2 linked regions of the Mytilus edulis genome follow. The protein of the gene in region 2 interacts with the protein of the main gene of each other region in a pairwise test. Links are inferred from orthologs where the notes say so. Each region holds a gene or a part of one and is shown on either strand. Other genes may lie near its edges.

Region 1 (7,137 bases), on a different chromosome or scaffold from region 2:
TTGGGTATGTGCTAAAGTCCAAGGAAATCCAATAATAGTCTGAGAGAAAAAAAAGTATGGGATCGCCAACACTGCATGCTCAAAAAAGGAAGACATTTTGGTGTAGCTTCGATAGAAAAATGCATATATAGCTTCGACTGATTCCTGGTCCAGGGTTCGGCAATTCTGTTCTTTAAGATGTCAAAATATTTAATTTTAATCCTTTATATGTATACACCATCATCAGAAAAAACCTACGAATTTCACACTGAAAACCATTCACCATATTTCCTAGTTTATTTGATAGTTTCCTATCACACCAGTTTCAATGCCTTTTGATACATATTCAACATGTATTACAGAGCAAACATAATCAGTTTACACTTGAATTTGTAAGAGCATAACATATTACTGACCTTGCAGAACACGGATTTGTAACTTTTTTTTCATCTAATTATTATTATCTTTCAATTTTCTTACTATTTTTATTTACTAGTTTCATTTACTATTTATTTATCTAGATTATTGTGGAAAGGGGGCCCGGGGGACGATGTCAAAACAAAAATATATTTTACCCTCAATAAAAAAAGACGGAAAATCAATCAATATACTTGTCATAAAAATCTATAAAAACTTATTTACTTGTTCAATGAAAGTATATAAAGACTATTAGCATGATACAAATATCAATAAATCGACCAAAAATTAGATTAAAAAACCCTTTACTTTATAAAATGATATCTTTATCAGCAAACAAACAAGACGCAAGCCAATAGACATGACGACAACTGTCATATCTATATCTATATAATACATATTCTTAGACCAATACGATTATTTGAAAAAAATTAAAAAATGCAGGTCGGTTTAACTTTGAGTCTTCTTAATACTATGTTTAATCCCTTTTCTCTACAGAGGGTGGTAGAGGGTTATTTTCGTGCAACGTGTTTTGCCATTTTTATTTCACGTTCAGTCGTGAAAAAGGTTTGTTATTCACCGTGTTTCGTGAAATCGGGAAAAAGATCAACGTGTAAGAAATTTTTAATTGTTCGTTCATCGTGAAATGGCAATTTTATTTCGCGTTCTTCCGTGCAGATACACCCCTTTACACCCCTCTCTACAGATTTTCATTGTTTGTTACTTTTTGTATTATTTTTAAAACAACTAGTTTAACCCAGACACATATAAATATCTGGATGGGGAGTCTCATTAATCTATATTCTTTCATTGTGTAGAACATATTTCTCTATTCTTCTTTTGACGTTTTGTTTATTATTATCTGTTCTGTTCTTGATATTTACGTACACAAAGGTTCTCTATTCTTTATTAGTTTGGCATTTTTTTTTTTCAATTTATCTTTTTTTGCCCATTATCTGTACTCTTGGTACGTTATATTCTCTATTCTATAAACCCCGTATGCAGCCTAAGTTAGGGAGGGACCTCGTCAGGTCGTTTTTTGTATGCCGGTTTGAAGAATTTCATATTAATGGCATGCAGGTTTTTTTTTATCATGTTGATATTTGATTTATTCACATCTTTTATAATTTAAACGATTTAGACTAGGAGCTTGTCTTATTGTTTGGACATCTGTTTATTGTCGTATGTGTTGCATACTTGTTAGATGTTTTTGTTTTTTGTCGTTGCGGATAGCTGTTTCATTGACGCCGATACCTCCCCCTTTTATGTGCTTGACTGAAAATCGTGTAAAGTGTACACATGTGCTTTTCCTTTAATTTCTTTAGCATTTGTAGTTATTGATAGTGTATAATTCTAGGTTAAAAGCTAATGTTAATCTATCTTATAATCTAACTTATTCGGATTTTAAATTTTAAATTGGCCCCAAAGGGGGTCCTTACCTTCCTTTTTGGGGGATTCTGTTGCCATTATAAACTCCTAAGTCATGAGTTCTCAGTGTATTTATATGATAAAGTAACATGTTGCTCTAACATCGAGGTCAACTTTTTATACAAGGTAGATATTATAAATAGGCTTTTGAGTCCAGGATTTAATCCGCAAGAACAAAGATACTTCAATTGAACATTCTTTAAATGTCTTAAAGTATAAATCTTTCAATATTATTACCCTATTTTTCTATCAGTTGACATACAGTAGGTATTTATTTCTAATTTGAATTGAAATTGTCCTCATGTTTGATCAACTGCAATATACCAATTAGAAGAAAAATAGTTGATCGCGTTTCTTTAGCCTTTGTTTACTTTACAACCTTTTTCCAACAATTATCGATGTGTGGACATTTAAATATAGTTTGATCGGTACTAAGAGTGTGTTTATTGGGGGTCCTTCATTTTTGTTTTCATTTCCTCTATTTGTCATATTTAAGGAACTTTTATTCTCTTTTCCTTCTTTGTTTGCCAATTCTTTATTCTTTTATTGGGGGGGGGGGGGGGGGGGGGGGGCATTATTCTGCACTTTTTGTCCACTATCCGATATTGTATAAACCCCACACAGACCCTCTCTATTATTTTGATGGTTTAAATCGGTTAAGGACACCATTGTTTATTAATTATAGGTTAGACTATACTTGGTCATGTTTTATGAAGATTTAAGCCCAAGGCGAAGCCGAGGGCTTAAATCTTCATAAAACATGACCAAGTATTGTCTGACCAATTTAGAACATATTCACACCTACGAGTGACCTTTTAATCTTAGATGCATGATTTTTTTATTAGTTGTTAGTGGCTTTGAACTAGCTGTCAGATAACTACGAGTACTCTCAGATCTGTTCATTGTGTCTTTTGTGTTTGGATGTATAAGTACTCGGCCACGTCCACTTGTATTTTTGTCCATCTGATGAGTTAAGCCTTTTAAAAAAAACGGCACTTTTGCGCGCCCTGGAAAATATATTTGAGGAAGAAAAATAACGGCACTCATGCGTGCCCTGTTAAAGAATGATTTTTATAGTTCGTTCTTATGTTATAGTACCACTGTCTCAGGTTAGGGGAGGGTTGGGATCTCGCTAACATGTCCCCGCCACATTATTTATGTATGTGCCTGTCCCAAGTCAGGAGCCTGTAATTCAATGGTTGTCGTTTTTCTTTTTTCTCAAATGTATTTTACAGGGCGCACAGGAGTGCCGTTTTCTTTCTTTCTCAAATATATTTTCCAGGGTGCGCAAGAGTGCCGTTTTCTTTCTTTCTCAATATATTTAACAGGGCACGCATGAGTGCCGTTATTTTTCTTTCTCAAATATATTTTCCAGGGCGTGCAAAAGTGCCGGTTTTTTTTCTGTCTCAAATATATTTTCCAGGGCGCGCAAAAGAGCCGTTTTTCTTTCTTTCTCAAATATATTTAACAGGGCACGCATGAGTGCCGTTTTCTTTTTTTTATCAAATATATTTTACAGGGCACGCATGAGTGCCGTTTTTCTTTCTTTCTCAAATATATTTTACAGGGCGCGCATGAGTGAACATGAGTGCCGTTTTCTTTCTTTCTCTAATATATTTTACAGGGCGCGCATGAGTGAACATGAGTGCCGTTTTCTTTCTTTCTCAAATATATTTTACAGGGCGCGCATGAGTGAACATAAGTGCCGTTTTCTTTCTTTCTCAAATTTATTTTACATGGCGCGCATGAGTGAACATGAGTGCCGTTTACTTTCTTTCTCAAATATATTTTACAGAGCGCGCATGAGTGAACATATAATTTCAGTCGGTTGATTTTAAGAATTGTAATGAAATTATTTTCTTCTGAATTGTGTGCATGTTATGGGCTTTATGAGATTGGCAGTTAGATCATTCAGTCGGCACGACAGGGTCTACTCGATCGGTTGGTCATCGACTTTTTCCCCCGAGATATCAGTTTTCTTTACTTTTTCTTGTAATCAAATTTAGGAGTATAGATCTGAGGCGATACGTTAGGTACGTTAGTACAACATTTTTTTTGTCAAACAATAAAAGTGTGAACATATTTACATTAGATCAACATGGTTATAAACAAAGGTGCAATAATAGTATAATTAATACAGATATTTGACAGGAAGTACAAATTAGTAACATGATTAAGCACATGTATTAAAAGATTTTAATAACACTTTTGCAAAATTTTGCTATTCCAGTAAGTGTAAATAAATCTGATGTATTCCTCAATTCTTTAAATTTTAAAACATTTTTAAGTTATAACTTCAGTTGAGGAAAAAATATGGCGCGAAATATTACCTCCTCATGACGATTATTCAAGTCACGTGATCAATTCAATATGGCAGCGACCAGGCGGCTTCAGAAGGTAAACAATCCAAAAAACGCTGTAGTAATTCCTATATAAAAGTATATTAGTCAATAAATAGATATAATAAAACAAAGAAACATGGGTCATTCCATTTCGTTGAAACCCTGCCATGTTTTACTTACATTTATTCATAAAAACGAATTTACGAACTTGTGTCTGACTAACCCAGCAACAACAAAAATAAATTCCAGAAACGACAATCGATATATGTTTTTTGTACATTCAATAGAAACATCGTATCTGAAAAATATTTTTTTATATACAGTATTAATCCAATACAGTATATTGCTGTGTTTTTATTGTTTACTCAAATGGGAATAAGAATATTCCAGAAAATATTGTTCCTGGTTTTCCTTTTTTTTTTTAATGAAATTATGTATTAACTTCATGTAAAACGTACAGAAAAGAAGCAAACTTGAATGTTCTAGAGATTAAACATAATATAGACGAGACATTTTATAGACCAGCTTTTTTTGAAGAAAGTTTTTGTTAAAGATATATTGCACATTGTTGTGTAATAGACCTTATCAATATAGAAGAATCTGTGACCCTTGAACCGAGAATTTGTGACTGACTTATGAACTTTTGATGCGATTCAACGATCACACTTCCTTTGTGGCTTCAGAGATATCTAAATTTGAAGGCATTTTGTCGGTCAGAAATTAAGAGTTTGGGATACAGTGGACAAATAGGGTACAACCCCACTTTAATGAATCTGGGTCTGTTTGCCCAAAAATATGTTTGCGCCCATTATCATCCTACTTGTACTTCCGCAACCTACACATTCACACACATTTAATGTTTGGAACAACTTTTCTAAAACAGGGGTCCACTTGTTTCATGCAAGTTAATAATTCTGAAGATAATAAGCATGATAAGTCAAGGAATATTACAACATATTTGGACATGTTTTGACCATATAATACCTGATAGATGTATAGTTTATTGGGAAAAGTTGCATGTACAGTCATTGACAGTCTGCAGTTAAAGTTTTTAAAACATTTATTAGCTTCATAAGCCATCCTGGATTATTACCAAACTTGGACAAAAGCTTCTTACAATCAAAAGATACATTGTAGTATCTAGAAAGAAAAAATAAAAAATTCCCCATTTTTGTTGAGCCTGGGACTAACAGCAAAAGGAGGCAAGACACTGGGTTATGCAGAACCCTAATGTACACATTTTTTTCTAGTATATAAAGTAATCATATGTTCATGGTGTTTGGAAGTTAGTAATAACAAATTTACACATAGAATGCATGTTAAAAAAATTGTATTAAGAATAAGATTGAACTTTTGACTTTTTCTTTTGCAGGAATTGGGAGATTTAAGAAAGGCTGATTTAAAAACGTTTAGAAATATTATTGTAGATGAATCGAATATACTGAAATGGGAAGGATTAATAGTTCCAGTAAGTGTCAGCAATATTAACATGATTTAACATTTTACTTCACATACACATTGTGCCAATTGTTAACAAACATCAACTCAAGTTTCAATGCAATTCAAACACTTGTCCTGACAAAAAATTATAAAAATTCCCATGATGTCTGAAATATTACATATTAGATAGTGTAGACGTAATTTTGTGTACATTTTCATGTATTTACACTAGATTATACACCTAGCACTTAGCTAAAGTAGAGATTCAACTTAAAAGAAACTCAAGACCAGTGGTCTTAGACCACCAACCTTTCTATATTTTCAAACCATAAAACCTATATTGTTTCCAGTATTTTACAGCAAAATTTGAAAAGTATCTAATGAAATTCTTGCATGACAAGATGAAATGAAATGCTGCAGTACTAAAGTAAAAAAATATTATTACTCATGCTCATATTCCCAGGGCCACTTGGCTACCAGATCATATATCAGTTTAACCGTAAGAAATCAGATTAACCAGTCTTTTCCCTACAAGTTTCATTTAGCATCCTGGTATACAGCAAATTATGAAATACATTTGTACCATCTGTATGTAAAATGTAGCTTGTTTCTAGAAATTATAGCATCACACCTATTACACTATCATTACAAAAAGGGAATCATTTTGTAGCATTTTATTACCATTATGCTAAAATTTAAAGGCCGTGGGGAAAGCACTGTTAACTATTGGATTGTTTTCCTTAGATTTAAATTACTTTCCAACTTTTTTTGTTGTTGTCTGAAATACATGTAGTTCTAGAAGAAATTCATCAGGAATAATGGACATGTGTTTTAGTGTTATCATCATTGTCAGTCCCCCTACCTACACGTATAATAAATCTGATGTTTGGAAATTACATGTAGATAAGATTCATTAGGTCACAATAATGAAAAAAATAACTATCAGAAGATACTCAAATTTATTTTAGATACAATGGCTATTTTGTTTGATTGTATATTTACGATGTTTTGTTTTGTAATATTTCAGGATCAGGTTCCGTTCAATAAAGGGGCGTTTAAAGTAGAGATTAACTTTCCTGCAGAGTATCCATTCAAACCACCAAAAGTAACGTTCAAAACAAAAATATACCACCCTAATATTGATGAGAAGGGTCAGGTGTGTCTACCTATCATTAGCCCAGAACACTGGAAACCAGCTACAAAAACAGATCAAGGTAAGGGTGCATAGATAGGAATTATGCAATCAATCTGTGAATGAAGAATGTTCGCACTCTCAAAAAATAAAAAGCTTGTTCTAAATTGATAGTATGTAAATAAAGGATTTAAAAAAGCAGAAAAGAATGGAGGGTCCATAAAACAGGGGGGAATAGGACCTTTATTCAGACTCCAAAATCGGGTGTTTTTAATCTCAGGATTTCGGGATTGATCCTTTTGTGATCCGGGAATTCTTTTTTCGAATTTCGGGACCTCCGGTTGTCGTGTTTTTATTCTTGGATTTCGGGATCAGGACCCCTCCTACCTCCTCTCATAT
Region 2 (7,106 bases):
ATTCACAACATTCTTTGTCAAAAGTCACCATGAGAATGATTTTTAACTAAATCACAATGTAAATTTTGTATCTACTCATTTGACCATTGTATATTTTGACAGATATATAATGTATATAGGGTCAGGCAAAAATACATAGTATAAAATATTTACCAGTTACTTGTAACTGTGAGAATTGAGCATTTCCTTGTGCTGCAGAGGCTGCTTCTCCCATTATTTGGAAGTCTCACATGTACACCTGTAATACAATTCATAATTTTAAAAATATGATCAAGAGACTTTCATTTGTAGATGCAGAAGGTCAGCATATGATATTCATGGGCAACCAAGTTATACATGTTATAGAGAAAAGTATTACCAATTTTCAATCATGAATGTCAAGAAACAGGGTAAAGTTGTTAGTTTTTTATTGCACTGTACAAGTAAATTTTTGTAAACATGAACACAGCTGATTTTCGATTTCAGCCTTTTTCGGGTCACTTAAGATTTGTCAGTTTTACTATGCTGTCTGTATATAGATACATGCAGGCCCTATTCATTTGATTTTTATGCATTATACTTAAATAAATGTAGTTTGTGTGTTTTAATAATATAAATGGTTTCCTATGAAAATATTTTTTGGAACATACATGCAATTTGTTCTGGTTAATTGTAAACTCCAATACATCTGGCCAAAGATTGGAGTCTTATAACATGTATGACAATGCAACAGACAACTTTCAAGTTCGATGCATTTCTGTCAAAAACATCATGTGTGCTTTAAGGGGCCTTGTCACTTCAGTTCCCATGTTGAGCAATTGGTTGGAAAACTATGATTCTATCATGTCTATCTTGCACGAATTATTCGGCAAATTGGATTTGATAATTTACAATCAGCACTGCTGTCATTAGGGAATTGTGATTAAATACCTACCCAACAAACAATATTTCTAGTTTATCCTGCACAATGATGATCACTAATAGTGCAGGGATACAGGCAATCCCCTCTATCTGGTAAATCATGTCATAAAGACATGCATAATTGATGAGTTTTTTTCCAGTGACAGACAAACTTGAAAGTGGTCTATTTATATCATAGATAAAGAAAGATGTGGTGTGAGTGCCAATGAGACAACTCTCCATCCAAATAACAATTTATAAAAGTAAACCATTATAGGTCAATATGTAATCAACTTTTCCTCATCAATAAATATTGTTTCTTTTCCAAGATCATGAAAATATTGTCCTTAAAACATTGTAAACATGGTAAAACCATAATTCAAAATATTCTTGAATGTAATATGAGGCAGGCAATACCTCTGAATGGAGACGAAGTTTATGATTTTTCTTTTGAATCAACAATGTTAAAAAGAGAAACGGAAATACCATAACGTTTCCGATTTTGGTTCTGTTGTTAGTTGTGACGTCATATTCAATGTAAACAAAGAAACGCTGTCATCAGGTAACGTTATTTTAATAACAATAATTTTTTTTTTAAATGAATTAGTATTAGTTCCTTTCTTAGACATGTTAGACTGATAAATTATAAATATACATTTTATTCAAAGTCTCTTGTAAACAAGACCGGAAACAGAAGTAGATTTCTGCGCAGATCTGGAATTTCAAAATGTGACAAAAATAAAATTGAACGATTTTGAGTTCATTCGTACAATAAAAAATTTGGGAAATTTTCCCGATTTTTTTTTATTTTTTTTTATTGAATTTTCTACTAGAACTGTAATAGGGGACTTCATCCCCATATTATTTACTAATTATCAAAATATGATTAATAGATGTAGCTATTGAGAGTATAAAATATCAATGGGACAACAATGCTGACTACATGTACAAGTAAAAGACAATGAAAGAAAGGTATTTAAGGTCCATATATATTATATGCATGTACATGTATGATATTTGTTGTCTCCACCATTAACATCTGTCTAGTTCTTTCCACATTCAACATGTTCAAAGCACATTCTAATTTTCATGGTGAGGTTTTCCCTGATGTTTAATTTGTGTAAATCTAAATACAATCCCTTATACTTATCCATACTTTTAAATAAACTTATTGTAAAAGGAAACTCATTCAACACCAAATCTATTTGATGTTGGATGTACACTGGTTGATATTTTCCCTGTATTTAGTCTAAGATATATTATATTTTCATTAGTAGATACATGTATGTACAATGTATTTGGACTTTGAACTAGCTTTCAGTAACATGAGTACTCTCAAATGAGGGGTTGTCACTCATTTGATTTGTTCCCCATTTGGCGGGTTGTCTCCAACCTTTTATTTAAGGCTACAGGAACATTGAAAAATGTGCTCGCCCAAATGTGCTTGCATATTTCCACACAAAAAATAATGAGTCTTGCAAGTTGAATGAAAAATAACCAATATCTGATTTGATTGTTCTTTGATTTTACATCACTGAACCTAATGACATTTGCACAACTTACTCTTAAGATGTGCCATATAAATTATTTTGTTGTGATGCATAATATAATAATTTACAGGAAAACATTATTTTTCCTTCAAAAGACATGTTACTGATCATGCTGATAGATAACGATGTAAGCAATCTTTAGATTTTAAATTTTAAACTGTACAACTATACCTTTGTAATCATGATTTTTCAAAATTAGAATGTCTTTTAATCTATCTTACCTATATGTAATTATAATTCTTGTGAAATATGCGACTATGTCACATGATGTAATAAAAAGAGCTTTCAAAACCATGAAAACAGTCTATACTGAATAGTTTTAACTCAATTTATTCAATAGTCATGATAATAAAGGATCATATGGTGCATGTCCAATGATTAACAGATAATACTTTTAGGACAACATTTTACATAAAATATTTAAGTCGTGTGTAAAGCAGGATGTTGTTAAGTTTGCTGTGACAACTTTGACGATTTGCTATGTTTTCTTTTTTTCAACTGAAATATTTGATATATTTTTAAAACACAACTTTTTGATATGTGTGAGAATTTGTATTGGGGCATCCCTGCAATGCGCATTTTGACAATATTGACCTGTATTTGGTTACGAACGAGCACTGTCAAAACAGTTTGATGTCCACCATTTCTTATTGGTCATGTGATCAATGACGTCGAAAGTTGTTATATTCATATATGTTTTTACAATCTTTACAAAATATTCTATACTTTTTCCTAATTTCTGTGCTTTAAAATAAATGATTTTTGCAATAAATACCATTTTCTAATTTTTTTCAATTAAGATATTTTGTAAAAAAAATAAAATCATATAAACGCTTTAAAGTAAGACAAATAATCTCTATCAGAATAGTTGCCTTTTGACATTGAATCTCATGTGGACAGCAAATGAGAAATGTCACAAAAAAGTGTAAAGCATGTGATAGCCGATGCTGGGGCTTTCATACGAAATGCCCCATTACAGGTACAAACAATACACAATTACCATTTATTGATATCTACCAGGATGTTTGTTTTTTTCAACTTCACACATGTATGTTAAAGTACTAGTGAAGTGCCTTTTCTTATACCCCCTGACTAAAAGTTGTACTATAGTATATATAGCCTTACCTATGACGGTTAAAGTCTTCTCAAGCCTTATAGTACTGTTTAATATACTGGACAATATTAGTATTTGGATCACAAGTGTATGGTTGTCATGCCATATGGGCATACTCCTAGTCATACATATCATATCAGGTAATATGAGGCATTACCTGTAAATGAGGACGAAGTCTGTATGATTTTTTTTTAATTCAAACATGTTTTTAAAAGAAACGGAAATACCGTAACGTTTCCAATTTTGGTTCTGTTGTTAAAAAAACAGGGATGAAAGATACCAAAGGGATAGTCAAACTCATAAATTTATAACAAACTGACAACGCCATGGCTAAAAATAAAAAAGACAAACAGAAAAACAATAGTACACATGACACTAATTGTTAGGGATTTAGTTGTGATGTTATTTAGTTATGACGTCTTATTCAATGTAAACGAAGAAACACTTTCATCAGGTAACTTTTTTTTATATAAATTAATTAACCCTTTCAACGCTATACACAGCATATGCCGCGATGACATTATATGAAATATGATTTGATCGATCATTACGAGACGAAGAAAAAGGGGGGAAAACGGAGGTTGACTGAAAATTTTGAGGACGAAGCCACTGATTTGTGCCACGATTACATAATATGTTGTGTATGGTGCAATACGCTACGGAATCGAGCAATTGGTGTCGTCTTTATTATATGGCAGATAAAACAACAAAATAGATGAAGACTAAAAGTAGTTTTGATTCAAAATTCAACATAAATGTAATAAATTACACCTATTACCTGTTAATTACCTGAAAATGCAGGTAACCTGATAATAATTTTACTGAAATAACTGCCTAATATTACAGTTCATACTCTCCTGAGCATTTTTCATGCTATAACTTTCTCTTTATCTTTTATAATAAAAAAGATACAGCAGTCTGAAAAGGAATATACTGTTCTAATGAATGAACACAAAAAAAAATGCAGCAGCAGCAGCCATTGTCTATTTTTTTGTGTAGCATTGAAAGGGTTAAAAATGAATTGGTATTGAGTTCCAATCCTATAGTCCTGAGTTCTATAGTATATTGAAAAATTCGGGAAATTTTCACGATTCTTTTTTTTTTATTGATTTTTCTACCGTAAATGAGGCAGGCATTACATGTGAAAGGGGACGAAGTCTATGATTTTTTTTTTATTCAAACATATTTTAATTTCAAAACGGAAATACCGTAACGTTTCCGATTTTGGTTCTGATGTTAGGGATTTTAGTTGTGACGTTGTTTAAGTTATGATGTCATATGCAATGTAAACAAAGAAACGCTCTCATTAGGTAATTTTTAAAGGCAGTGCTTTAAGGCCTGACTTTTAAGTCATGAGGTTCATCTTTTCATACGCAATCTATGCTGGGGGTCTTTTGGCCAGAAATAGATCCGGAAATGTTCGAATTTCTCCTCTTCTTTTTATGGTATGATATGGTTTTTGTTTCTTTCATTTACATTGGGGACTAAAGAAACGATCAGTGTGTATTGTTCGTTTTATAGAACTTGTTATTAGTGTGTATTTTGCATTATAAGCAGTCAACCTGACTACAAACTATCATTATTAGTATATTCCGTGTGGAAAGAGGTCGGGTCAATTTCAAGTGTTATCTGACATCTAAAGATTCTTTAATTAGTTCAGACGTTGATATAACAATGAAAAGTCGACTGAACATGATTAATATTGCACCTTCTATAATTCAAAGCGGAATTCGGTTTATGAACGAGAAACCGTAAAGCGTTTTCAATTTCGGTATTAGTTATGTATGTTGTCTACGTATTATCCTGGTTCCCGGTACTACGTTCCGGGTATTAGCTATTTGATATATTTGATGTGTAACATTACAATCGGGTACCAGCCAATCTACGTGTGTATGTGTACATGATTTACCGCCAAAATGACCGACTTAAAAAATAGTCCATAAACGTTCCGTATAATGATATGCAAATTCATAATTAATCGTAACTTTTTTTATCTTTGTATAATTAATATAACAAAATGGATTCCACAAAATTGAAAATAGCATTATTTTACGAGGATTTCTCATATTTTTTTCACTTCCGGGCGCAGTAATACGTATGTTTTAAAGAAGCTCGAAGAATTTGACAAAGTGAATTGAGAAGGAAACGGATAGATATACGTCCTTGCTATCAGGTAAAACAATTTAAATGTTCAGAACAAACACATTTACTTCACACAAATAGTACAGGCTTAAGCTTTTTATTGTCTAGCTTATACACGACTGTAGTCAAGTGTTTAAACGACGGCGGTGACCTACAAGGTACGGGTCATACTGGGTCAAGTCTAAATATGTAAACATATCCACGTGCTATTAGGTAGAACGCATCGTAATGCAATATCTACAATTTTTTCCTCCTTTATACATCGTTTAACCAGATATATTTCTCCTTTTTACATCGTTTAACCAGATTTATTTCTCTTTCAAATACACTTAAACACGGGTTGTATGTACGTATCTTTTCTAGTGTTTTAAAATTTCTTGTCCTTATTAAAGTTCATTTGTTGATGTTTAAATATTTTTGAACGACTGAACACAGGAGTGAATGAATGCAACAATTATATATATACTGAAGACTTGGGCTGTACAATGATAGTGTACGTATATCATACTGATAATTATTCTAGCAGTAATTATGTTAATTTAGGATGTAATGTCTAATGACAGGAATTCATGAGCTATGCCTCAGGCTTTCTGAAAAAATATCAATGACAATGTAAACAGGAACAAAACATTGACACGAATGATGCTCTCTTCTATGTTATATTAATATATAGTTATTTAGGTATATGTGTTGCACAAGTTTCAATTAAACTTAAGTTATAAAACTTTTTTTCAGGGCACAAACCCACTTTAAAGAGACTTGTCTACTGCCATACCCATCCTATTTTTATGCACCATTTGCAAGCAAGAGACTGAATGGTTTGCAAAATTTAAAATCAGGACGGTGTCCAATTAAAACAAAAGAACTAAACTGGATGAATATTGTAGGAGAAATCTAGAGGAAAGTTTTGATTTGTGAAATTGGTTTTTCTGAAAAGTCATTCATCCTAGCCTGCAGAAAGGAACTATAACTGTCCACCACCAACTGACGAGCTAATGTTGAGCTTCACATATGGAATTACTCAAATACCATCAATGTCTATGTTTTCAGCACAGATTTCACAATTTATGACACAGCTGTGCTTTTTTTTATACCTGTTAAAGAGTTGTATACTAAATTTTATTTTTTTATCAATAAATATATATTATATTAATTGTGTCATCTAAGAACTTGTATTTTGCCAAAAGATGCATACTAGTGAATGAAAGTGGTGCAGTTCATTTTGCTTTGGTATATAGAATTGAATTACAATTGTTCATGTTATTGGAATGCATATAAAAATAAGGAGATGTGGTACACTGTATATGATATTTAGTGAGTTTATCAAGCAAAAGTGAATAAGAAATAGGTATAAGCAGTTACAGGTACTACTGTACAATCTCAAACAATGAGAAAAACTCGTACCGTAAAGAGAATTTCAT

Evidence for each region.
Region 1: the proteins of NEDD4-like E3 ubiquitin-protein ligase WWP1 (region 2) and ubiquitin-conjugating enzyme E2 L3-like interact in binary tests that used the Caenorhabditis elegans proteins (3 or more experiments, as listed by UniProt). The link is inferred for Mytilus edulis from reciprocal best matches to the Caenorhabditis elegans genes wwp-1 and ubc-18.

The regions. Positions count from the first base shown.
Region 1 is NC_092349.1:14,319,091-14,326,227, forward strand, and holds the start of ubiquitin-conjugating enzyme E2 L3-like, read left to right. Parts: upstream 1-4,091; 5' UTR 4,092-4,194; coding exon 4,195-4,221; intron 4,222-5,538; coding exon 5,539-5,634; intron 5,635-6,633; coding exon 6,634-6,820; intron 6,821-7,137. Other genes in the region: BTB/POZ domain-containing protein 6-like, read right to left, coding at 1,836-1,863. UniProt on the Caenorhabditis elegans protein: Ubiquitin-conjugating enzyme E2. Accepts ubiquitin from the E1 complex and catalyzes its covalent attachment to other proteins. Required for diet restriction-mediated lifespan extension, probably acting as part of a complex with ubiquitin-protein ligase wwp-1.
Region 2 is NC_092348.1:11,608,095-11,615,200, reverse strand, and holds the start of NEDD4-like E3 ubiquitin-protein ligase WWP1, read right to left. Parts: upstream 3,111-7,106; 5' UTR 3,024-3,110; intron 239-3,023; 5' UTR 215-238; coding exon 154-214; intron 1-153. Other genes in the region: RNA-binding protein NOB1-like, read left to right, coding at 3,340-3,408. UniProt on the Caenorhabditis elegans protein: E3 ubiquitin-protein ligase which accepts ubiquitin from an E2 ubiquitin-conjugating enzyme in the form of a thioester and then directly transfers the ubiquitin to targeted substrates. Ubiquitinates klf-1.